Oryctolagus cuniculus: one gene and its partners. The protein of the gene in region 2 interacts with the protein of the main gene of each other region in a pairwise test. Links are inferred from orthologs where the notes say so. Each region holds a gene or a part of one and is shown on either strand. Other genes may lie near its edges.

Region 1 (7,163 bases), on a different chromosome or scaffold from region 2:
GAGACCAGGAGAAGCACCTGGCTCCTGCCATCGGATCAGCGCGGTGCGCCGGCCACAGCACGCCGGCCGTGGCGGCCATTGGAGGGTGAACCAACGGCAAAGGAAGACCTTTCTCTCTGTCTCTCTCACTGTCCACTCTGCCTGTCAAAAAAAAAAAAAAAAAAAAAAAAAAGTTTTGATGATAGGAAGTTGGAAAACGATTCTCCTAGGTTTGCGCCACCTTTCTTCTTACGGGCTTTGGTTCGAAGTTCCAAGTAGCTTTAGATGAAACAGCGTGTTAAGGAAAGGACTGAGCACCAACAAGCTTCTACAACACTGACACGTGCGAATCTCTGGAGTGCGTGCTAATCAGTCTACTGTTTAGGTCATGTCCTGTGCCAGCAGCTGCAGGAAGACAGAGCCCGTTCTTTTGCCTCAGGATTGCAATGTGTGGGCCCAGCGTTGTGGCACAGGAGGTTAAGCCACCACCTCTATGGCGGCGTCCCACATCAGAGCACCATTCAGCCCCCAGCTGCTCTCTGCCGATCCAGCACGCGGCCATGTGTCTGGGAAGGCACAAGATGTCTCAGGCGCTTGGTCCCCTGTGGTCCAATGGGAGCCCAGCTTGGAGTTCCAGGCTCCCAGCTTCAGTCTGCCCCAGGCCCAGCCAGTGCAGTCATTTGAAGAGTGAACCAGCAGATGGAAGATCTATCAATAACCTCCTGTCTCCCTACTGCCTTTCAACTAGGTAAATCTAAAAAGCAACGTGCTCTTCAAGGTATGAGAATGCACATGTATCAGGAAGTGAAAGGCTGGATAATCAATAAATCTGTTGCTAGCATTTTTATTTATTTTTTACTTAAGAAACAATTTTCTTTTAAATTATGGATTCTATTTTTTGATTGTTAAAATTATTTACGCCGGTGCCGCGGCTCACTAGGCTAATCCTCCACCTGCGGCCCTGGCACACCGGGTTCTAGTCCCGGTCAGGCACCGGATTCTGTCCCGGTGGCCCCTCTTCCAGGCCAGCTCTCTGCTGTGGCCCAGGAGTGCAGTGGAGGATGGCCCAAGTGCTTGGGCCCTGCACCCCATGGGAGACCAGGAGAAGCACCTGGCTCCTGCCTTCCGATCAGCGCGGTGCGCCGGCCGCAGCGGCCATTGGAGGGTGAACCAATGGTAAAGGAAGACCTTTCTCTCTGTCTCTCTCTCTCTCACTGTCCACTCTGCCTGTCAAAAAAAAAAAAAAAAATTTACATTCGTTGCAAAGAATATGTATTTCAAAGGAATACATTCTCAGTTGCCAGGTTTCTTTGCTATTTTATACTTTGTGTGCGCACAGCCCCATTGTTTCTGAGATTGAGAAACACCTTCCTGAATGGCACAGGACAACTGGACACCTTCCACTGCAAGACCTCGCGAGAACTGACAAACGACAATGCCCTGAGACCCCAGTACTGCGTGAAGCTGAGGCAGTCAGACCTTTATGGGGTCTCTGTTTCTTTGTTTAAAATGGTAGTAATAATTGTTTTACTTAAGATGAAAAAGGGAAGAAAGTGAAGAGGGCCTAATATCACGTAAAAAGACATGGAAATGTAAACCCCAGGCCACTATGGTCCATGGGACAAACCGAGCAGTTGTTTTCTTAAAAAAAAAAAAAAAAAAAAAATTGTTTATTTGAGAGATACAGGGAGAGGGAGAGGGAGAAGAAGAAGTAGACACAGAGAGAGTGAACTTCAAAGGTCTGCACAGCCAGGGCTGGGCCAGGCTGAAGTTAGGAGCTGGGAACTCAACCTGTATCTCCCATGTGGGTGGCAGGGACCCGAGGTGCAATCAGGAGTGGGGCCAGGACTCAAACCCAGGCACTCCACGGTGGGAGGCTGGAGTTCCAAGTGCTGCTTTAACCATATGCTACGTACCTGCCCCAGATGTTGGCTTTTCTAATAAAGCAGGCCTGTACTGGAACACAGCCACCCCATGTTTTTGCACGGTCTACAGCTGCTTTTGCAATAAGCTGAGTAGTTATTGCAGACCATATGGTCTGCAAAGACTACAACATTTACTATACGGCTTTTCTTAAAAAATGAATTGCTGGCTGCAGTTCTAGGCCAGCATGGTTTTTTTTTTTTTTTTTTTTTTTTTTTTGACAGGCAGAGTTAGGCAGTGAGAGACACAGAAAGGTTTTCCTTCTCTTGGTTCAACCCCCAAAATGGCCGCTACGGTGCTGCGCTGATCCGAAGGCAGGAGCCAGGTGCTTCTCCTGGTCTCCCATGGGGTGCAGGGCCCAAGCACTTGGGCCATCCTCCACTGCACTCCCTGGCCACAGCAGAGAGCTGGCCTGGAAGAGGGGCAACCGGGACAGAATGCGGCGCCCCGACCGGGACTAGAACCTGGTGTGCCGGCGCCGCCAGGCGGAGGATTAGCCTAGTGAGCCGCGGCGCCGGCCGCCAGTAAGGGCTTTTAACAACCCACAGGTGTGTGCTGACTGCTGCCTCCCATGGCTGGTGTTCCTGCGACCAGTCTGTACAAGGGAGAGCCTCGCCACGAAGCTGATCGTAGCTGAAACGTACGCGCGCCCGCAGCAGGCAGATCTGAGCGCGGGGGGCACGCTTCCAAGGGTGCAGAGACTCACCAGGCTGCCTGTGACGACCTAGGACGTCCCCCCGACCCCGACCCCGACCCCGGCAGGGGCTGCACAGGGCGGGTGGAGACGGCCCGTGCTTACGGAGGCCTACTGCGAGCAGACACCTTGCATTTGGTCCTATTCGGATGACACGTAACAAGCACTGTCCCCGCTTCCGGCTGGGGCTAACTGGCCCAAGCTGAGGCTCCGCTAGGTCCTCTGGACTAGGAAATCTACACTTTCTTTCTTTAAGATTTATCTATTTGAGGGCAGAGTTGCAGACAGAGAGAGGTCGAGATAGAGAGAGGGGGTCTTCCACCCAAGGGCTCACTCCCTAAATGGCCGCAAGGGCCGCGGCTGCGCTGATCCGAAGCCAGGAGCTTCTTCCGGGTCTCCCACATGGGTGCAGGGGCCCAAGGACCGGGCCCGTCCACTGCAGCTTTCCCAGGCCATCAGCAGGGAGCCGGATCCGAAGTGGAGCAGGTGGGACTCAACCCGGCGCCCATATGGGATGCCGGCGCCGCAGGCACACGGATGTTTAACTAGTAACAGCCGCAGCGCCGGCCCGAACCCTGCGCTTTCAGCATCTCGCTCCAAGGTCCAGCCACGCGCGACGGGACGGGGAAGGTCACACAGCTGCTGAGGGGGCCTCGGCTGGGGTTCAGGGCTCGCGGCCAGAGAACGGGCTGCTTGTTCTAACCCAAGTTTCCCGACCCCGCCCTCCCTCTCCGAGCACCCCGGGATCTTGACGAGCTGCTTCAGGCCCGTCTCCCGCCGCTGGGGCACCCAGACCAAGGGCAGCCCCTGGAGGCGGGAGGCGGTCCTCAGTTGCACCCAGGCACCCAAGCTGGACGGTCGTTCGTCCCGTCTAGGAGCAGAAAGTGCTCCGTGCCGGCTGCCGCCAGCCCTCTGCGCGCCGCCTACCTGCCGCGGGGCGGTCAGGGTCCCGTCCACGTCGAAGAGGCAAAGCGCTGGTCCCGGAGCTGCCATGGCCCCCGTTTCCGTCCACACCTGAGACGACTCGTTGGCACCCGGACCTCGACCCGGAACTTCCGGGTTCGGCCCTCTTCGCCGCAGAGCACGTCGGGAAGAGACTCCCACAGCCTCCCACAATGCCCGGGGCTAGCGTCGGCCACGGACGCTACACCACAACTCCCAGCATGCAACGCGCGTAGTCCGAGCATGCGCCCTTAGAGTTTCCGGCGGCGGTGAGGTTGTATCCGGCGCCAGGGAGCAGGGCCATGGTAAGGAGGAGGGTGATGGGCTGCGTCGGGGTCGGAGCCAGTGTTGGGGCAAACAGGCAGGAATCCTGAGCTTCTGGTTTGTTGGGTCCTGGGGCGATTGCCCCGATGTGGGTTACGATGTGCTCCTCCACGGCTTGCTGTGGTCTTGCGGGGTCACGTGGGCCAGCAGCGGTGCTAGCGAGCCTCGCGGGGGTGCTCAGGGTGGGCCCCGAGCAGTCGGCGCTGCTTATCCGTGCGCTCCCCATCCATGGATTCACTCAGCTGCCGAGACAGCTGCGTCTGTGCGGAACGCCTACGGGCTCTTGCTACTCCCAAAGGAATCCCCCATAACCACTCTTTACGCCGCGTTTCCATCGTAGTAGTGGTATAAGGTATCACACAAACACTGTGCCATTTTGCATAAGAGACGTGAGCCCTCTGGTTTGGGTGTCTTGTCGTGCATCCCGGAACCAAGCCCCTGCCGGTGCTGATGCACAGTGGTGCTGCGTTTACGGCGTAAAAACCGTTGTCTCGTTCAGTGTGTTCTGAGTGCCCGTTGGTAAAGCCTAACGAACTCACGCAGGTGGAAGCCGAGTTCTGAGAGGAAACGGTCTCTTGTCTCCCTTCCAGGCTGCCCTCCTCCGAGCTGTGCCCAGGTGGCGGGGGCCGGCCGCCTGGGGAAAGCCCCTCTGCGGGCTGTGGTCCTGCGGTGGGCGAGAGGATCCCAAGAGGTGGGTGCGGAGCAGGTCTCCCGGTTCCGAGGAGAAAGCCCCGGGCACAGAGACCGAGAAGTTCCAGATGGTCTACCGTTTCGATGCCATCAGAGCGTTTGGGTACATATCTCGGCTGAAGGTGGCGCAGACGGCCCTGACGCTGGTGGCTCTGCCGCCCGGCTTCTACTGGTACTCCCAGGGCCTCATGCCGCTCGACTCGCTGTGCCTGGTGGGTGGCATAGCTGGCTTCGCCCTGGCCATGCTGTGCTGGATGAGCCATTTCTTCCGCAGGCTCGTAGGCATCCTGTATGTGAACGAGTCGGGCACCGTGCTGCGGGTGGCTCACCTCACCTTCTGGGGCTGGCGACAGGACACGTACTGCCCCGTGGCGGACGTGGTCCCCCTGACGGAGACGAGGGACCGGCCCCACGAGGTGTTTGTGCGCATCCAGCAGTACAGCGGGAAGCAGACCTTCTACCTACCTCTGCGCTACGGGCGCGTCCTGGACAGAGAGCGCTTCACACAGGTGTTTGGGAGACTGGACTCGCTCAAGTGATCAGCTGGGCCTCTGGGAAGCCCTGGGCCCCTTGGGTCACTAACCAAGAAGGCTGAGGGTGTAGACGAGGCCGAAGGAGGGAATCGGGCCCCTAGAGACTGTCAGAACCCTGGGAGTTTGTCTTTTCGGAAGAACACAGAAATTCGGACCCAGGTTTACGGGAAGGCGCCCGAGTGCGGATTCTTCCTGCACTTGCGCGTGCTGTTCTTGCAGATAATGGCCAGGAGGTTCTGTTCGGATCCAGTTCTTGGAGGAAGCTATGCCACGGTCACCCGGACAGTTCACGGGTATTTGGAAGACAGATGTGGGAGGAGCACAGGGTTTGGGGTGCTGTCAGCTCGCTGTTCTGGGCAGCTGACGGAGTCTGTGTGAGCCTTGGTTTCTCACGTCTGTCAAACGGAAAGTTCTTTCTGTCTCGTGGGCTGGATGTCAGAACACACAGTAAACATGCAAGGCCGTAGCCCTGGGCGACTGGGAAGCGTCTGCTCAGAGGTGGTGGTCGGGGCTTTCAGGCAGCGCGCGGGAGCCCTGTGTTCTGCCTCTCCATGCACCCCTTAGCAGAAGAGTGGGACGAAGCGTGGCGGGGGCATTGCACCCTCCCAGGATGGTAACTGCACCCCGAGTGAGGCGCGACGCCCCAGCTGAGATGTTCCGCACCCACAGGCCGAGGCCGTCCCGCTGCGTCATGGAGCCAGATGGGTGTGTGTAGTGCTCTACCTCTGCGTGTTGCCTCCCGTGATCGGTGTGTGTGTCGGCCACGTAGCTTGTAGCAGGGTAAAGGTCTTCGTGATTTTGCCACGCATAAGTCAATAAATTTCGTATCACCTCTGTTTTCATTGTCATGTACTCATCACAAATGTATCGTTGTAACCATGTTAAGTGTACAGTTCAGGGACAGTAAGTACATTTGCAGTGTGGTGTAACCACCCCCACAGTTCACCCCCAGAAGTTTTTCACCATCCCAGGGCCTCTGTACCCACAGAGCAGCACTCGCTCTCCCGTTGGCAGCCACTAATCCCCTTCTGCCTTAGAATCTGCCTGTCTGGACATGGCATGGCCTGGAATCACACAGTATGTGCCCTTTCGTGACTGGCTTCGTTGGCTTGGTGTGATGTTTTCAACGTGTGGGTAGCGTGTAGTGGCATGTAATTCTTCCTTATAGCTGGACGGTATTGTTCCGTGTACTGCCACGTTTGTCTCTGTTCATGTGCTGGGGGACGTTGGGATTATTTTCACCTTTGGGTGCATCCCAAGATGTGGGACTCCTAGGTCCTCTGGTAATTCTGTGTTTAACCATTGGAGGACCTGCCAGACTTTTTACAGTGGCTATGCCGGGTTACATTCCCATTGCAATGTCCAGAGGTTCTCTCCCCTCCCTGCCTCCCCCCTCCCCTTCCCTTTTTTAAAGATTTATTATTTATTTGAGAGGCAGAGTTACAGAGAGAAGGAGAGACAAGATCTCCCACTCACTGGTTCACACTCCAAATGGCCACAATGACCAGCTCTGTCAGGAGCTTCTTCCGGGTGAGGGGCCCAAGGACTTGGGCCGTCCTCTGCTGCTTTCCCAGGGGCATTAGCAGGGAGCCAGATCAGAAGTGGAGCAGCCAGCACTGGAACCAGCGCCCAATGGGATGCCGGTGCTGCAGGCTGAGGCTTTAAGCCACTGCGCCACACCTTCGGCCCCAGGGGTTCCGAGTTCTCTACATTCTCTCCAGCACTGCTTATTTCCCATTGTTCTGCTTATTGCCGTCCCAGTGGCTGTGAAGTAGTAAGTCATTGTGCGTGCAGAGTTTTTAAAAACAGTTGTTCTTTTTTTTTTTTTTTTTTTTTTTTCTGACAGGCAGAGTGGATAGTGAGAGAGAGAGAGACAGAGAGAAAGGTCTTCCTTTTGCCATTGGTTCACCCTCCAATGGCCGCCACAGCTGGCGTGCTGTGGCCAGCGCACAGCGCTGATCCGATGGCAGGAGCCGGGTACTTATCCTGGTCTCCCATGGGGTGCAGGGCCCAAGGACCTGGGCCATCCTCCACTGCACTCCCTGGCCACAGCAGAGAGCTGGCCTGGAAGAGGGGCA
Region 2 (7,121 bases):
CCCCTCCCCAGGACGAGGCTGAGCCAGCCTTGGGCACAGCGGCCCTGGCTGCCGGTGGGACCCCGGCTGCACCCCTCCAAGAGCACCCCAGACCCCACCTCAGCCATGAGGTCTGCGACAGCAGCTTCTCCGGCTCAGCACCCACGGCACCTGCAGCCCCCGAGCTGGGGGAGCTCCCTGGGGCTGGGGTCCCCCTGGCTAGGAGAACGGCAGTGGGGTGAGTCCTGCCTCCGTCTCCGGCAGGGAGGGCTGGGCAGGGCGGTCCCGGAGCGAAGCGGGACGGGGAGACCTGGCCGAGGCCAGGGTGTGGGGAGGTAGGCGGATCCCAACCCGGGGTGAAGGGGCGGTGGCACCAGGCAGCGTCCCCACCGTCACGGCCACCACTGGGGAGCCGACAGCCTCGGTGACGACACCCGGGCCTGCACGCAGCCCCCCACCCCCACCCGGTTCCCCGACTCCAGGCACCACAGCAATGCCAGCCCGGATGTGGGGCTCGAACTGCCGCCCTGCCGTGCCCTCTGTCCCAGCGTTGGGCTGCAATGCTGCACCTACACCCAGGAAGGCCCTGCGCCCTCCACAGCCAGGTCCCCAGGCGGAGCCCGGCCTGTGCCCCCCCATCTCCACCGCAGTGCCTGGCATCAACTGGTGCCTGGCGTCGTGGGGGGCAGTGGAGTGGGAGGGAGAGAGGGGAGACGTCGCCGCTCCCCCCACCTCCCCAGCCCGATGGTGAGCAGGAGCCGCCCAGCCTGTCTGTGTGTCCGGCTGGCACCTGCTGCCCTGTAGCTTCCAGTCCGCCACATGTGGCCCCAGCCCGGCCTCTCCCGGTCTCTGCCTCGGTGCCGCCCCGCCCTGCGCCACGAGGCCCAGCCCCGTGGTCCCCACGACCCCTCCAGCCTCACCTCGGGCGGAGACTTGACTGAAGCGACAGGTGGACGTCAGGGCACACACCTGGCGTCCAGGGCGGGCGCTTGAGAGGGCGGCCAGGGCAGGGTGGGGTGGGGGAGGCCCGGGATGGAGTCAGGCCTCCTGCAGCCACAGTGAAGCGGGCAGCCCGTGCCGCTTCTCTGGAATGACGGGTGCCCGGGAGACCAGGCTGACGGCAGGGAGGGCACCGTCGGCGAGAGGCGGAAAAGACCCACAGAGGGGGCCACGGGGTGACAGGGCCCACTCGGGAGCGTGCACGGTCAGGCAGGGGCTCCAAGGCCACAGCAGAGACCAGCGGGCTCCAGGCGTGGCTCCCAGGCCACACGGCCCCGCCGGGACCAGCAAATCCATGCAGGGCTGCCTGGGGCTCTGAGCCCTCTCTGGTCTGTCTCCCTGTGAAAGCTGACGCTTTTATTGAGAGAGAGAGAGAGAGAGAGAGAGAGAGAGAGAGAGAGAGAGAGGTATTTAGTTATATGAGAGAGAAAGGCTTCTATCTGCTGATGCACACATGGTCCCGACAGCCAGGGCTGGGCCAGGCAAAGCCGGGAGTCGAACTCCATCCACGACTCCCACGTGGACGCAGGGGCCGGGCGCTCGGGCCATCACCCGTTGCTTTCCCGGGCGCGTTAGCAGGGAGGTGGATTGGAAGCAGAGCAGCCGGCACTCGAACCCGGCACTCTGATACGGGATGCGGCTCTCCCACGCGTGGCTTAGCCCGCCGTGCCACGACGCCCACCCCACTCTCTCGCCCAGGGGCTGCCCGCACATGCGCTGTTTCCAGCGGCCCGCGGCCCTTGCTCCCCTCTGCTCACAGCTGTCCTGGGCTCCCAGGCAGGAGCGGAGACTCAGAGAGGGTGTGACGTCTCTTGGGGTCACACAGCCTGCCAGGGAGCACAGGTCCCAGCCTGGGGAGGCCCCCTGGGACCAGGGGTGTCCCCAGGCCCCACGACCCCCAGTGTAGGGGTGCGGGCCAGCAGCAGCTTCAAGGAGGGTTAGCCCAGAGGGGCCTGGCTGCCCTGTGGGGCCTTGGGGTCCCAGGACCTGGCCTCCGGGGGCACTAGGTGGCCAGGCTGACCGCCACGCCTCTGCCTGCCTCCCTGTCAGTGACCTCTGGACCGTGCTCCCCCCAGCAGAGAGCTGAGCCCATGCCAAGTGCAGGGGACTTTGCCTTGCCCCCCCACTGCGCGCAGAGGGGCACAGCGGGGGCAGGGCGGGTTGGAGGGGTTGCCGCCCGCCCCTCGTGCTCTGAGTGCCATTGACCACTCTGTTTCGGCCTCAGTTTCCACATCTGTACAATGGGTCCTGAGAGTCGTTTCTGGAAGTCATGCCAGCGCCTAGAACAAGGAGAACACAGCTGTGGCGGGACTCGTGGCCGTTTCATGGAGCCTCGCGAGCCGCAGAACCGGGGCCCTGGGACAGGCAGGGCCGGGAGGGGCCGGGGTGAGGCTCCTCACCTGGCCTGCCCCGACCGTGACTTCCAGGGCTTGGTCCCTCTGCCCGCAGGGAGCCTCCCCTGGGCCTGGGAGGCAGGGCAGCTGCCTGGACTCAGTGGGCCGTGCAGGACGGGGCGGAGCCGGGGTGCGACCTTTGGCTGTGGACCTCAGCCCCTGGCCTCTGCTGGCTTAGCACAAACACTTCCCGTCCCCAGAGCTCCGGGCCCACACACAGCGCTGACCTGGGTGGCCAGGCCCCGGGGAGCCCAGGCTCTCAGGCAGGGCAGGCAGGGGTGGCCTGGGCCCGGCTCCGGACAGCCACCTCCCGCTCTGATGCTGTCCGGTCCCCGGCTCCGAGACGGAGGCCTAGGGCTCTCCCTGTGAGCCCCTCCCTGGGGTCTCCCTCCCCACCGCGCCCCCACCCCGCTCTTCTCACCCCAGAGGGAGCAGGAAGCCCCCAGAGAAGGGAGAGGTCCCAGGCAGGGGCGCCAGTGACGACCTCCGCGGGGGCCGGGGGCTCTCACGGCTGACGGCCCCTCCAGCTGCACCACCCGGGGAGCTCACCGCCGGGCCCTGCGTGCGCCCACCCGCCAGGCAGCCACCCACGCACAGCATGTGCGCGCTGCCAGTGCCCCGGGAGCCCCTGCGCCGCGTGGCCGTGACCGGGGGCACCCACGGCAACGAGCTGTCCGGCGTCCACCTGGTGCGGCACTGGCTGCGGGCGCCGGGGGAGCTGCGGAGACCCAGCTTCGCCGCCACGCCCGTGCTGGCCAACCCGGCCGCCGCGGCCGCCTGCCGCCGCTACGTCGGCTGTGACCTCAACCGGGCTTTCACCAGCGGCTTCCTCAGGTGCGCGCCCTTGCCCCTGCCTTCGCTCTGGCTCTCCCACTTCCTGGGCCGCTGTTCCTCCCTCCTCCATTCCAGGCAGAAATCCAGACAGAGGCCACCTCCTCCAGGAAGCCCTCCAGACTGCAGGCTGGGCCGGGCTCCCCAGCCCCGGGGGTCCTCTCAGAGCAGGCCCACAGGCTGTGTTTACCTGTCTTGCACCCCCGTCTCCCCTTCCTGCCTTTCTTCAGTGGGCATCCACTGAGGCCAGGCTCCGGCCGGCTCAGGATGGGAATGGGCCTAGGACCGAGGGGTAAGCCTCAGTGTGCTAGGAACACAGAGGCCGATACGGCAGCCACAACCCCGGAGGCTGCATGCAGGGGCGTGGGCCACGGGCAGTCAGGGAAGGCTTCCTGGGGGAGGCAGTGTCTCAGCCAAGCCCCCAAAAGTGAGAAGTTAGCCAGGTGAGGAGAGGAGTGACCAGCGAGGGCCCAGCGGGTGACAAGGCCCTGCAGGTGGATAGGGCGGTGGACAGGACAGGTGGACAGGGCGGTGGACAGGGCCGGGACAAGGGCTGGGGCTTCGTGGGGAAACGCAGGAGGGCGGACCACCGTCGTGAGTGCCCCTGCGGACGGACTGAAGCTCTGGGGGCTGGCGTCCCCCGTCTCTATCCCCGTAGCGCGAAGGCCAGTCCAGACGACCCGTATGAGGTGACAAGGGCCCGGGAGCTGGACCAGCTCCTGGGGCCCAAAGCCTCGGGCGCGGCCTTCGACCTGGTCCTGGACCTGCACAACACCACAGCCAACGTGGGCACCTGCCTCATCGCCGAGACGGCCCACCAAGTCTTCGTCATGCACCTGTGCCGCCACCTGCAGGTGGCCCCGCCCCCGGTGGGGGAGGGGTGGGGGCAGTGGGGACAGAGTGGGGGGCTCTCTCGGGCTTCCTTCCCTGGGGTTAGCTCCAGTCCTGCACCCCAGGACCGAGGGAGACCGGGTGTTGGTGTAGGGTGTCCCGTGCTCCCCCCACCCCCACTGCCTCAGTTTCCCCTCCCTGACCCGCCTCTCCCGGCCGCAGCTGCAGACCCCAGAGCTGCCCTGCCGGGTCCTCCTGTACAAGCAGCCGGGGGAGGAGAGCTACCACGTGGGCTCTGTGGCCAAGAACTCGCTGGGTAGGCCACGCCCCTGGGAGAAGTGGGCGGGGCCTGACCGATTGGATGTGGCCACAAGGGCTGGGCTTCTTTGATAAGTGGGCGGGGCCACGAGGGCAGGGCGGGGCCTGGTCTTGGGGCCGCCCCCCTTGCTGCTCCTACCTCTCTCTGCCCCCGGCCCCCCAGGCCTGGAGCTGGGCCCGCAGCCTCAGGGCGTGCTGCGGGCCGACGTCTTCTCCCGCATGAGGGCCCTGGTGGCCTCCACTCTGGACTTCGTGGAGCTCTTCAACCAGGGTGAGGCCCCTGGGGGGCGTGCGGGAGCCGAGGCCCGCGAGCGCGCGTATCTCACCTCGCCCCACCCCACACAGGGGCCGCCTTCCCAGCCTTCGAGATGGAAGCGTACAGAAACCTGGGCGGCGTGGACTTCCCTCGCACGGCCGACGGGGACCTTGCGGGCACCGTGCACCCCCAGCTGCAGGTGTGTGGGCGGGCCTCTGGGGGGATCCAGGCGCCCACGCCCCGGCCCTGGCGCCCCGTGGTCCTCTCGACTCCAGGGCAGGCGCAGCAGCCTGGACAGCGAGCCCCGGGAGGGCGCCAACGCGGAACCCGCGAGCGCCCCCAACCCCGCGCCCCGGGCCTGCCCTTCCCGGGGTTCCGGGACTCGCCCTGCTGCTCCGGCCGGTGCCGCGCGGGGGCGCTGTGGAACAGGGCTCGGTGCGGTCCTGAGCCCGGCTCTCGGGTTGGGGTGCAGGGAGGGAGCCCCAGCAGTCGGGGCCAGCTGGCCTGGCCCCCTTGCAAGCGGTGAGCATAAGAGTCACTTTGGGTGCCCTACCCTACAACTGAGCGTTCACACAGTCTCCAGCGCTGTTGACCCCCTGACCTTGAGACTCAGAAACGGGGCGGGGGTGAGACGTGGGGACCCCGGTTTTGCAGACCAGGAGGTTGGGGAACAGAGGGGTTAACGTGACTTCCTGAGCGTCACACCCCCACCAAGGATTCGAACCCGTTTCTGAGTCCATAACCTTTAGGCTAGGTTTCCATAGCAACAGGTGTGTTTCCAGGGCGACTGGCAGCAGGGTGGGTCCTCACCAGGTACCCGGTCACAGGGGCGGGAGGGCCAGCCGGAGTGAGGGGTGCCTCTGGGCTGCCGCCAGCTGGGGCCGCTGTCCATTGGGGCGGGGCGGGGGCAGAGGTCAGCCCCCCAACCTTGGCCTCCGGCTCCCCCTCCAGGACCGAGACTTCGAGCCCCTGCAGCCCGGCGCCCCCATCTTCCAGCTGTTCAGCGGCGAGGACGTGTGCTATGAGGGGGAGTCCACTGTGTACCCCATATTCATTAACGAGGCCGCCTACTACGAGAAGGGCGTGGCCTTCATCCGGACGGAGAAGTTCACCTTCTCCGTGCCCGCCCTGCCCGCGCTGGCCCCCACCCCCACCCTGGTGCCCTAACCCATGCTGCTGACCAGGCTCTGCCCCCGGGGCCCCCCTACTCCCCCACCCAGGCCTCAATTTCCCATTCTGTAAAATGGAAGACGGGCCGGCGCCGCGGCTCACTAGGCTAATCCTCCGCCTAGCAGCGCCGGCACACCGGGTTCGAGTCCCAGTCGGGGCGCCGGATTCTTTCCCGGTTGCCCCTCTTCCAGGCCAGCTCTCTGCTGTGGCCTGGGAGTGCAGTGGAGGATGGCCCAGGTGCTTGGGTCCTGCACCCCATGGGAGACCAGGAAAAGCACCTGGCTCCTGGCTCCTGCCATCGGATCAGCGCAGTGCGCCGGCCGCAGCGCGCCGGCCGCGGCGGCCATTGGAGGGTGAACCAACGGCAAAGGAAGACCTTTCTCTCTGTCTCTCTCTCTCACTGTCCACTCTGCCTGTCCAAAAAAAAAAAAAAAAAAAAAAAAAAAAGGAAGACGCCCGGGGGACCCATGGTCTGTGTCTTTGGTCTGTTGTGCAGGGGAAGTGGGTGGAGGCGGGGAGGCTTGCCCACGGCATCTGGGGTGGGTCTGGTCAGCGCTGCCCTGGGCACACCCATCTGTGGGGGGGTGGGGGGGCACCCAGAGCTGGGAGAAGCAGCCAGAGAGGGAGAAGACAGAGAGGTCCCAGCCCAGAGGGGAGGTCCAGCCAGCTGCTGGACACAGCATGGCCCGAGGCTTGGTCTGGGGCCAGCAGAGCCCTGGCCACGTACTGGGACGCTTGGCCCTGCACGCACCTGCCCCCTGTGCCCCTCAGAGGGTGGGCGTTCTTCCATGCACACAGTGTCTGAAGCTTAGTTCCCGAGTGTCCTGTGGGCATCTGTATGTGGGTGCAGACACAGCGGGCTGTGGAGTTCTGGGTGTGGAATGAGCCTATGCCCGTGATGGCCCTGGGTGACAGGGCTGCGGGGAGGGATGCCAGCACGGCCTTCCACCTGCCGTGACACAGGGAGGAGGTGCCTCAGGCTGCGGCACAGGGACGCCCTGCCCCCTCCACCGCGTCCACCATCCCCAGAACCCCCGCTGTGGTGCCAGAGGGGGCAGGCAGGGTGCCCTGGATGGGGTCCCCCCACCCCGTCCTGGTGCAGGCACCCTCCAGGGCGGGCCGGCTGCGGCTCACTGCCCGCATCTGCCCGAGCCCGAGGAAGTGGTCTTGGCTGGACGGAGCCCAGGGCTCGGTTCCCTGGAAGCAGCACCGCTGGGCGGGCTCCAGGTGGGCTCCGGCTGTCCGGCCCAGCCCATCCGTCTCCCCGAGGCCACGGCTGCCGCGCGCATCCTGCTATTGAGCAGTGAGATGAGAAGGTGTGAAAGACGCAGGGGCGCCAGGGA
Region 3 (7,404 bases), on a different chromosome or scaffold from region 2:
ATTTCAATTGTTTTATTTGTTCCAGCCCACCCTACCTGCAACTTGCTTGCTTTCCACTACACTCACAGAAACTACCTGAATGTCTTCTCTTCCAAGGACCTCCCCAAATTGAGCACTCCAGTTTGTGTCTTACAGATTGACCAGAGAGAAAGTTATCTTGGACTGAAACAGGAAATTAACCTCAAATTCTATAGTCATTACAGAATTACTGAACACTTTAACCTGGTGAGATTTTGCAATTTAAATTAGTAACCATAAAAGCATGCCTAGGAAGGCTGTTTCAGTTAAGCCAACACCCACATCGTTAGACAGCTCATGTTCAAAAGTTCGTTCTCAAAGATAAACATATCAATAGAAAGGCAATTCCACTAAGCAAGACATTTTAAAATGAAATTCTAAGAAAATTCTGACAAAACAATGATTGGTGGAACAGCAATGAGTTGTTCTATCAAAGGGCTTAAATATAGAAACATGACCTTCAAAATTTTCAGGTATTAATAGTATTTCCAGAGCCAGCGCTGTGGCACAGCAAGTTAAGCTGACACCTGCAACACCAGCAACCCATACTGGAGCACTGATTGACTCCCGGCTGCTCTGCTTCCAATCCAGTTCCCTGTTTACACACCTGTGAAAGCAGCAGAAAGAAAATGGTCCAATAACCTGGGCCCCTGCCACCCACGTGGGAGACCCAGATGGAGTTCCAGGCTCCTGCCTTCAGTCTGGCCCAGCACCAGCCACCGCAGCCATCTAAGAAGTAATCAGCAGAGAGAAGATCTTTTTTTTTTTTTTTAATGTGTATTTTTTTAAAGGTTTATTTATTTGAAAGGTAGAGTTACATAGAGACAGAGATCTTCCATTCAAAAGTTCACTCCCCTAAGGCCACACTGGCTGGAGCTGAGCCAGGCCGAAGCCAAGCACAGGGGCCATCTGCCGCTGCTTTTCCAGGCACATTAGCAGGGAGCTGGATTGGAAACAGAGCAGCTGGAACATGAACCATGACCCATATGGGATGCCAATGGTGGCCCCAGTGTAATATCTTTCTCTCCTCTCTCTGTCACTCTGAATTTCAAATAAATAAATCTTGTAAAAGACATCTCCATCAAGCATAAGCAAAGTCAATTTCATTTAAAGATAATTATTATAATCCTTTTGGTGATCCCACAGCTTCTTTCCATTCATCAGTGATTATACTTCAGCCTATTATCTACTTGGAAATTTCATAAATATTCAAATTCTGTACCTCCAGGCCAAAATTCATTGAGTTAACTAGGTAAATTCTAACAAAATAAACAAATAAACAAAAAGCCCCATCAACCAATCTGTGGGTTTAATGGAGTTCACGGTATGTACTTTGGAAAAGACTGCACAGAGATTTAATCACGGTGCCCATGGAAATTACAATTTAATAAGAAATTCATGAAGCATATTTACAAGGAACAAACATATGTGTAACCCATTCAAACCTTTGCTGAGCATCTGCTATGTTCTCAGCATGCTGGGGAGGAAGGGCAGTATCAGACCTGAAGCCATGTGATGCCTGCTATCAAAGCGCCACAGTATTTACCGGGATACCACGGGCGAAGTGAACTGAGTTCTCAGGAGACAAATGGAAGAACAGTGAAGAAAAGGCTTCCAAGAGCAGAGGCTTAAGCGAGTATTTTTCGGAAGAAAAATTTTGGCAGAACAACCCTTGTAAATCAGATTTCTAGGAAATATTTATACTAAGGCGCTAAAATCAAATCAGAAAGAACAGTGATGAGAATAAACAAGGTGGACAAGGACTGCTCCACAGGAATGGGTTATGTACCCTACAAAGTTACACTGTAAGAAAAATGAGAAGGCTTCAGGGCCATAAAACCTCAGTTAATAACATACCAGGCTGGCTGCTAGGTTTGTGAAGTCATCTCAAGTCCAACTAACTCTTCAGCTATAAAAATAAATATGGATGGCATTTACTTGACAATGAAGCAACACAAAAAGGATTTGTAAGAACTAAAGTAACCAGCAAGCGAAGCTGAGCAAAAATCACATTTTCACCCAGAAAGAGTAAAAAGAGAAGCTCTCCAAAACATGGAGTTTACTGCATTTGTGGTTAACGGTCTTTTAACAGGATTTTAAAGCAAAGATGTTTTATTAAAAATAGTTTTTATTCATTTACTGGGGCGACTGAAACTCAATCTTTTCTTCTGAGGTCTTAGTACACCAGTTTTGTTTTTTTTTTTTTTTTTTGAGGCGATTACATGTGCTTTCCAAATAAGTAACTTAATACCATTCACCTCCCCTGCTGTCATGACCCAGGAGATTAAAAATAGAAGCCTTTGTTAATACTGAATTAACCTGAGGACCCCGCGAGCTACCAAGGGTACAGAAAAAAAAAAAAAAAAAAAAAAAAACAACCGCTCGACACACGGAAGGCATGCACCCTTAAGGAGCCACGGAGAGGAAAACTACTTGGAAATGTCACTTCACTATATTCTAACCAGAACACCACATGCCTTCGACTCTCTCGGCCAACGTAGTGTCTAAATCCTACTTTAACAGAGAGTCTCTTCGGCCGTACTAGAACACGACAAAGACGGCATTTACTTCGTCGGTCTACGAATTAACTCCGAAGGGCTCAGGTATCCGAAACCTGCATTCTGCTCCTGTCCACGGCGCACCCTTCCGAGTTATTGCGATCAGGTACTGAGAGCTACACCAGCGAGCTCTCGGCCTCTGATAGCAAGTCTTCAGAGAAAAAAACCGGCGAAAGACCAGAAAACTTTAAAGGACTCCAAATAAAAAAGTGCCCAAGTCATCCCTTCGATCAAAGCAAACCCCCTACAGTGCCATTCCCCACCTCCCCGCCCAAGTCACACAGAAATATGATGTTCAAGTTACAAGGTCGCCCTGAGATCCACACCCTGCGAACTTTCCGGACAGAAAGGCGCTGGGGTCTGGAGACGGCACTGCCCGCGTCCTGGGCCCCGGTCCTCAAGCCCCGCAACTTCTCGCCGGACCTGGGGGCCCCCTTCCCGCGCCCGCCCCGCGGACCCACGAGGGCCGGACGCTCCCGGGCGGCCCCCGAGGCCCCTCGCAGTGGCTGCGTCCCGCACGCGCAGGCGGCTCGCTCCGGCGCTGGCGGGCCCGGCGGGACGGCGGCCGCGACCCGCCCGCAGGCCGGCCCCGGGCGCTGGGGGAGCCGCCCGAGAGCGCCCCGTTTCTCACAGACCCCAACATGGCGTCGGCCGCCGCCGCCGCCGCCGCCGCCGCCCGCGACGGCGACACCTCCCCGCGCCGCGGACGGCCCCGGGACCGCGGGAGGAAGCGCCCGAAAGTTTCGCTTCTCCCCTCTCAGCCCACCCGCAGCCGGCGGGCCACCAAGCCCGGCTTCACCTACCCGGCAGGGCGCAGCCAGCGGCGGCAAAGAACCGACTCTTGCTCGTCGCTGACGGCGAGCGCGGACTCTGCCCGTTCCGCTGTTTTCTGACCTCGCAGGCTCCGTGCGCCGGCGGTCCCGCTCAGCCGGCGCGATCCAGACGCGGCAGGAGGGCGGGCGGCCGGCGCAGCCGCTCGCAGGTGACTCCCCCGCCCCTCCAAGTCGAACCCCACAACGGCTGCTGGGCTGGCCTCTCCCCTGCGCGTGCAGGGCGCGTCTCCGTCCTCACGCCGGGCGCGAGCGCGCGGGCACGAGCACACCCACACCGCTCGCTCCCCGCCCTTTCTTGCCAGTTCCCTGGTCCCGCCCCGCCCCGCCCCGCCCTGCCCGCGCGTCGCGCTCCAGAGGCGGGGCCTTCGGCGGAGGCCACACCCACCCGGGCGTCAGGCGAGCGCGGGGAGGGTGGGGTGCCTGCTCCTGCGCTGCACCGTGCGCCGCGCGCCTCGTGGTCGTTAAGGTCCGCGCGCTGCGAGTTACCTGGCTCGGTCGAGCCCGGGGAGAGGACTGTTCAGGTGTGTGCGAAGTTCTTAGGGAGCCTAGAAGAATGGAAGACTACCTTCTCCACCTCCACAGCAGGCCTCCCCAGGAAACTGAAGGACGCAGAGGGAAGGCTTCGGATTTAGATGCTCCCAGGCGTCCGAGCACACCTGTGTGTGCTACTCCAGGCGCTGCTGCCCATCCCGCCTTCCAGTGCCTTTCTCTGAAATTCTTCCCTCTAGAAGCGGAGGGAAAGCGCACGCTCCCCACACCGCCTTTTGCAGTGCGAGCCGTAGAACTCAGTGTTTCCAAAACTTATCTGACGCCACAGAACCCCATCTACTGACTTCACGCACCTGGCGACCGCGACGCTAGGACAGTACGCAAGGTTACAGGTGCCCTCGTTCGTTTGTCCGGCGGCACCTGTTTGTAAGCGCGCGGGCTGTCTGGGGTAGGCAGGGAGGAGGGAGATCGGCGTCCATTTTTAAAGTGTGTGTAGGTGGGAGTCAGGTATTGGTAAATTTTGTATTTTCCATTGACCTAGTCTTTGTAGCAATTTTTTTTTTCTTTTGAGTGCTGTTGAATTAGAACCACCACCAGCCACGCGGCAGGTAGCGGATCACTGACGGGAAATGAGCAGTTCGGGATCCACCATGCTTTATTTACACCTGCTCTTGGCGTCTGGGCGTCCCGTCCCCTCCCGGCTTTCCCTGGTTCTGTGGCTCCGAAACAATTTTTTTTAATCGGTAGTCAAAACAAAACTGGCCAAAAGTGAACACCTTTTTTTGGGTTGTTTAACCAGGGAAAGTTACAGAATCACGATCAAACACCCGTTCGTTTCAGTTTGTTAACTATAGTGAGCTCTAGACAAGTGTAGATGGCCCCAGAACTCCTGTCTCAGCCATGACTATACTCCAACTTAATTTGGCCTTGTCTCCCTCTACATAGGCAGCAGTATCTGTCCCCATGAAAACAGGCTGGATTAAATAAACTCCAAAGTTCCTTTGAATTTTCAAATTGGGAATGCTTTGATCAGTAAAGTCTAGTCTAAAACATTAGGCCCCCAAAACTTTGGTTACTCACCCCCTGCAGCAAAATGTTGGCCTCTCTCTCCTCCACTGTACTTGTTTAGCTTACCATCAAGTGTGTGGATAGAAACCAGACAGACTATGCTCAAATCTTGGCTTTGACCCCAACTACCTGTGTCCTTGGCTACATCCAAATATTATCTTGGTTTCCTCATTTGTAAAATGAAGACAATAGAAGTATCTACCTCACAGAATCATTTTGAAAATTAAATGAATTAATATGCATAAAGCATGTCCCTAGCACATGGTAAGTGCAGTAAAATGTGAAAAATTATCATATGTATTTAACACCCACATATCCATTATAATTTATTTGTTAGTACATTATAAAAGGCATGGCCCCGGGAATGCAGTGGAGGATGGCCCAAGTGCCTGGGCCCTGCACCCGCATGGGAGACCAGGAGAAGCACCTGGCTCCTGGCTTCGGATAGGTGCAGCGCGCTGGCAGTAGAGGCTATTTGAGGGGTGAACCAACGGAAGGAAGACCTTTCTCTCTGTCTCTCTCTGTCTCTCTCACTGACTAACTTTGCCTGTCAAAAAATAAACAAGAAAGTACACACAAAATCTGAAAAACAATGATTTATGTTTATTATGTATGTGTGTATGTATATATGACAATTTACATATGATATTATATGTGTGTATATGTATATATGTTTTCTTTTCTTCTGCACTCAGCATAATGTGTGCTCTCCCTGGGCTCTGTGCAGGTCACTGATTTGGAACTCTGCTGACAAATACGATAGGCACTAGCCACATGTCTTAATGAAATTTAGGTTAATTCAGTGAAAGTGTCGGTTCCCCAGTCACACGGATCACATTTCAGGTGCTCACTAACCGCATGACTATTGGACAGTGCAGATGGGAAATACTGCCATCACTGCAGAAAGTTATGTTGGAGCACACTGGCCACACAGATACAAACAAGGGATTTCAAGGCACTGGGAGGCAGTAGGATCAACTCCTGACTTGGACTTGTAACTGTGGCGCTGCCATCAAATCCAGTGATAAGATCTCTCTGTGGGCCTCCCATCTTTGTAAAGTGAAGATAAAAATAGGCACGACCTCATAGACTGCTGAGTGGAGGAAGTGCGATAACAGTGATTCGTGTCTGGCAGGGTCCCGATAACAGAGAGGAACCTCAATGTGTTAGTAAACTTTGGATTTAAATTAGCCCAACTTTATAAACCTGAAGGAAAAAAGCTCTTGTTATTGTCCTTGAAGCTGATAAGTAAGGTTTCTGAGGATATGGATTTTGAAAAAAAAAAAAAAAAAGACTTCGATTAACTTTTAGTTCAAGTCAGGACATGTCAGGGGAGATGGCAAGTACCTGGAGCAAGTACCTGGGTTTTGATTATGCCTTGATTTCCTTATCCTCTCCACACATCAGCCCTGGTCTTCTGCCAGTCTTGGCCATCCATGTAAAATGGCACTGTCATACACAAACCTGATGAGTCACGGTTTTCTCATCCTCTTTCCCATCTCCATTCAATCTCTTTGCTTCCAAAATATCAGGATCTACCTTTGAAACACTTTGCTGATCTCTAGTCCCCTCCACACAGGAGCCTCCCAAGGTTGTGTCATTTCCCTGCAGAAAACCTTCAGCAACTACTCAATGGGGTCGTCAGGCATACTTATACAGGTTGCAGGAGAACATCCTTATGGGAAAGTGCCTTTCTCGTTGGCATTGTAGATTTTACATTTATTACATATATTTTTCTGGCAGATTTCAATGACAGGCAGAGTGGACAGTGAGAGAGAGACAGAGAGAAAGGTCTTCCTTTGCCGTTGGTTCACCCTCCAATGGCCGCCTCGGCCGGCATGCTGCTGCCGGTGCACCGCGCTGATCCGATGGCAGGAGCCAGGTACTTATCCTGGTCTCCCATGGGGTGCAGGGCCCAAGGACTTGGGCCATCCTCCACTGCACTCCCTGGCCACAGCAGAGGGCTGGCCTGGAAGAGGGGCAACCGGGACAGAATCCAGCGCCCCGACCGGGACTAGAACCCAGTGTGCCGGCGCCACAAGGCGGAGGATTAGCCTAGTGAGCAGCGGCACCGGCCAGAGCTGCTTTGTTCTAACAAAAAGTAGCAGGGCTGGCACTGTGGTGCAGCAGGTTAAGCCGCCAACTGTGATACCCACATCCCACATAGGAGCACCAGTGCTAGTCCCCAGTGCTCTGCTTCCAATCCACCTAATCTCCTGGGAAATAGGGAAGCTGGCCCAGTTACTTGGGCCTCTGCCACTGCTGGCTTCAGACTGGACCAGCCCTGACCATCGCAGCCTTTTGGGTAGTGAACCAGTGGATGGAAGATTATTGTCTGTCTTGTCTGCCTCTCTCCCCCTCCCTCTCAGTGTCACTTTGCCTTTCAGATAAATAAATCTTATTTTTTAAGATTTTGATAGTTACAGAGAGAGAGAGAG

Evidence for each region.
Region 1: the proteins of ACY3 (region 2) and PMM2 interact in binary tests that used the Homo sapiens proteins (3 or more experiments, as listed by UniProt). The two-hybrid records come from large-scale screens. The link is inferred for Oryctolagus cuniculus from reciprocal best matches to the Homo sapiens genes ACY3 and PMM2.
Region 3: the proteins of ACY3 (region 2) and PLEKHF2 interact in binary tests that used the Homo sapiens proteins (3 or more experiments, as listed by UniProt). The two-hybrid records come from large-scale screens. The link is inferred for Oryctolagus cuniculus from reciprocal best matches to the Homo sapiens genes ACY3 and PLEKHF2.

What each region holds. Positions count from the first base shown.
Region 1 is NC_091450.1:27,393,557-27,400,719, forward strand, and holds the start of PMM2 (phosphomannomutase 2), read right to left. Parts: upstream 3,761-7,163; 5' UTR 3,590-3,760; coding exon 3,524-3,589; intron 1-3,523. Other genes in the region: TMEM186 (transmembrane protein 186), read left to right, coding at 3,841-3,843, 4,453-5,091. UniProt on the Homo sapiens protein: Involved in the synthesis of the GDP-mannose and dolichol-phosphate-mannose required for a number of critical mannosyl transfer reactions.
Region 2 is NC_091432.1:4,480,015-4,487,135, forward strand, and holds ACY3 (N-acyl-aromatic-L-amino acid amidohydrolase (carboxylate-forming)), read left to right. Parts: upstream 1-2,526; 5' UTR 2,527-2,970; coding exon 2,971-3,206; intron 3,207-3,861; coding exon 3,862-4,057; intron 4,058-4,256; coding exon 4,257-4,350; intron 4,351-4,515; coding exon 4,516-4,623; intron 4,624-4,697; coding exon 4,698-4,807; intron 4,808-5,559; coding exon 5,560-5,775; 3' UTR 5,776-6,225; downstream 6,226-7,121. UniProt on the Homo sapiens protein: Plays an important role in deacetylating mercapturic acids in kidney proximal tubules. Also acts on N-acetyl-aromatic amino acids.
Region 3 is NC_091437.1:120,537,036-120,544,439, reverse strand, and holds the start of PLEKHF2 (pleckstrin homology domain-containing family F member 2), read right to left. Parts: upstream 4,176-7,404; 5' UTR 3,975-4,175; exon of another isoform or gene 3,896-3,974; intron 3,520-3,895; exon of another isoform or gene 3,380-3,519; intron 1,928-3,379; exon of another isoform or gene 1,876-1,927; intron 748-1,875; exon of another isoform or gene 626-747; intron 576-625; exon of another isoform or gene 1-575. UniProt on the Homo sapiens protein: May play a role in early endosome fusion upstream of RAB5, hence regulating receptor trafficking and fluid-phase transport. Enhances cellular sensitivity to TNF-induced apoptosis.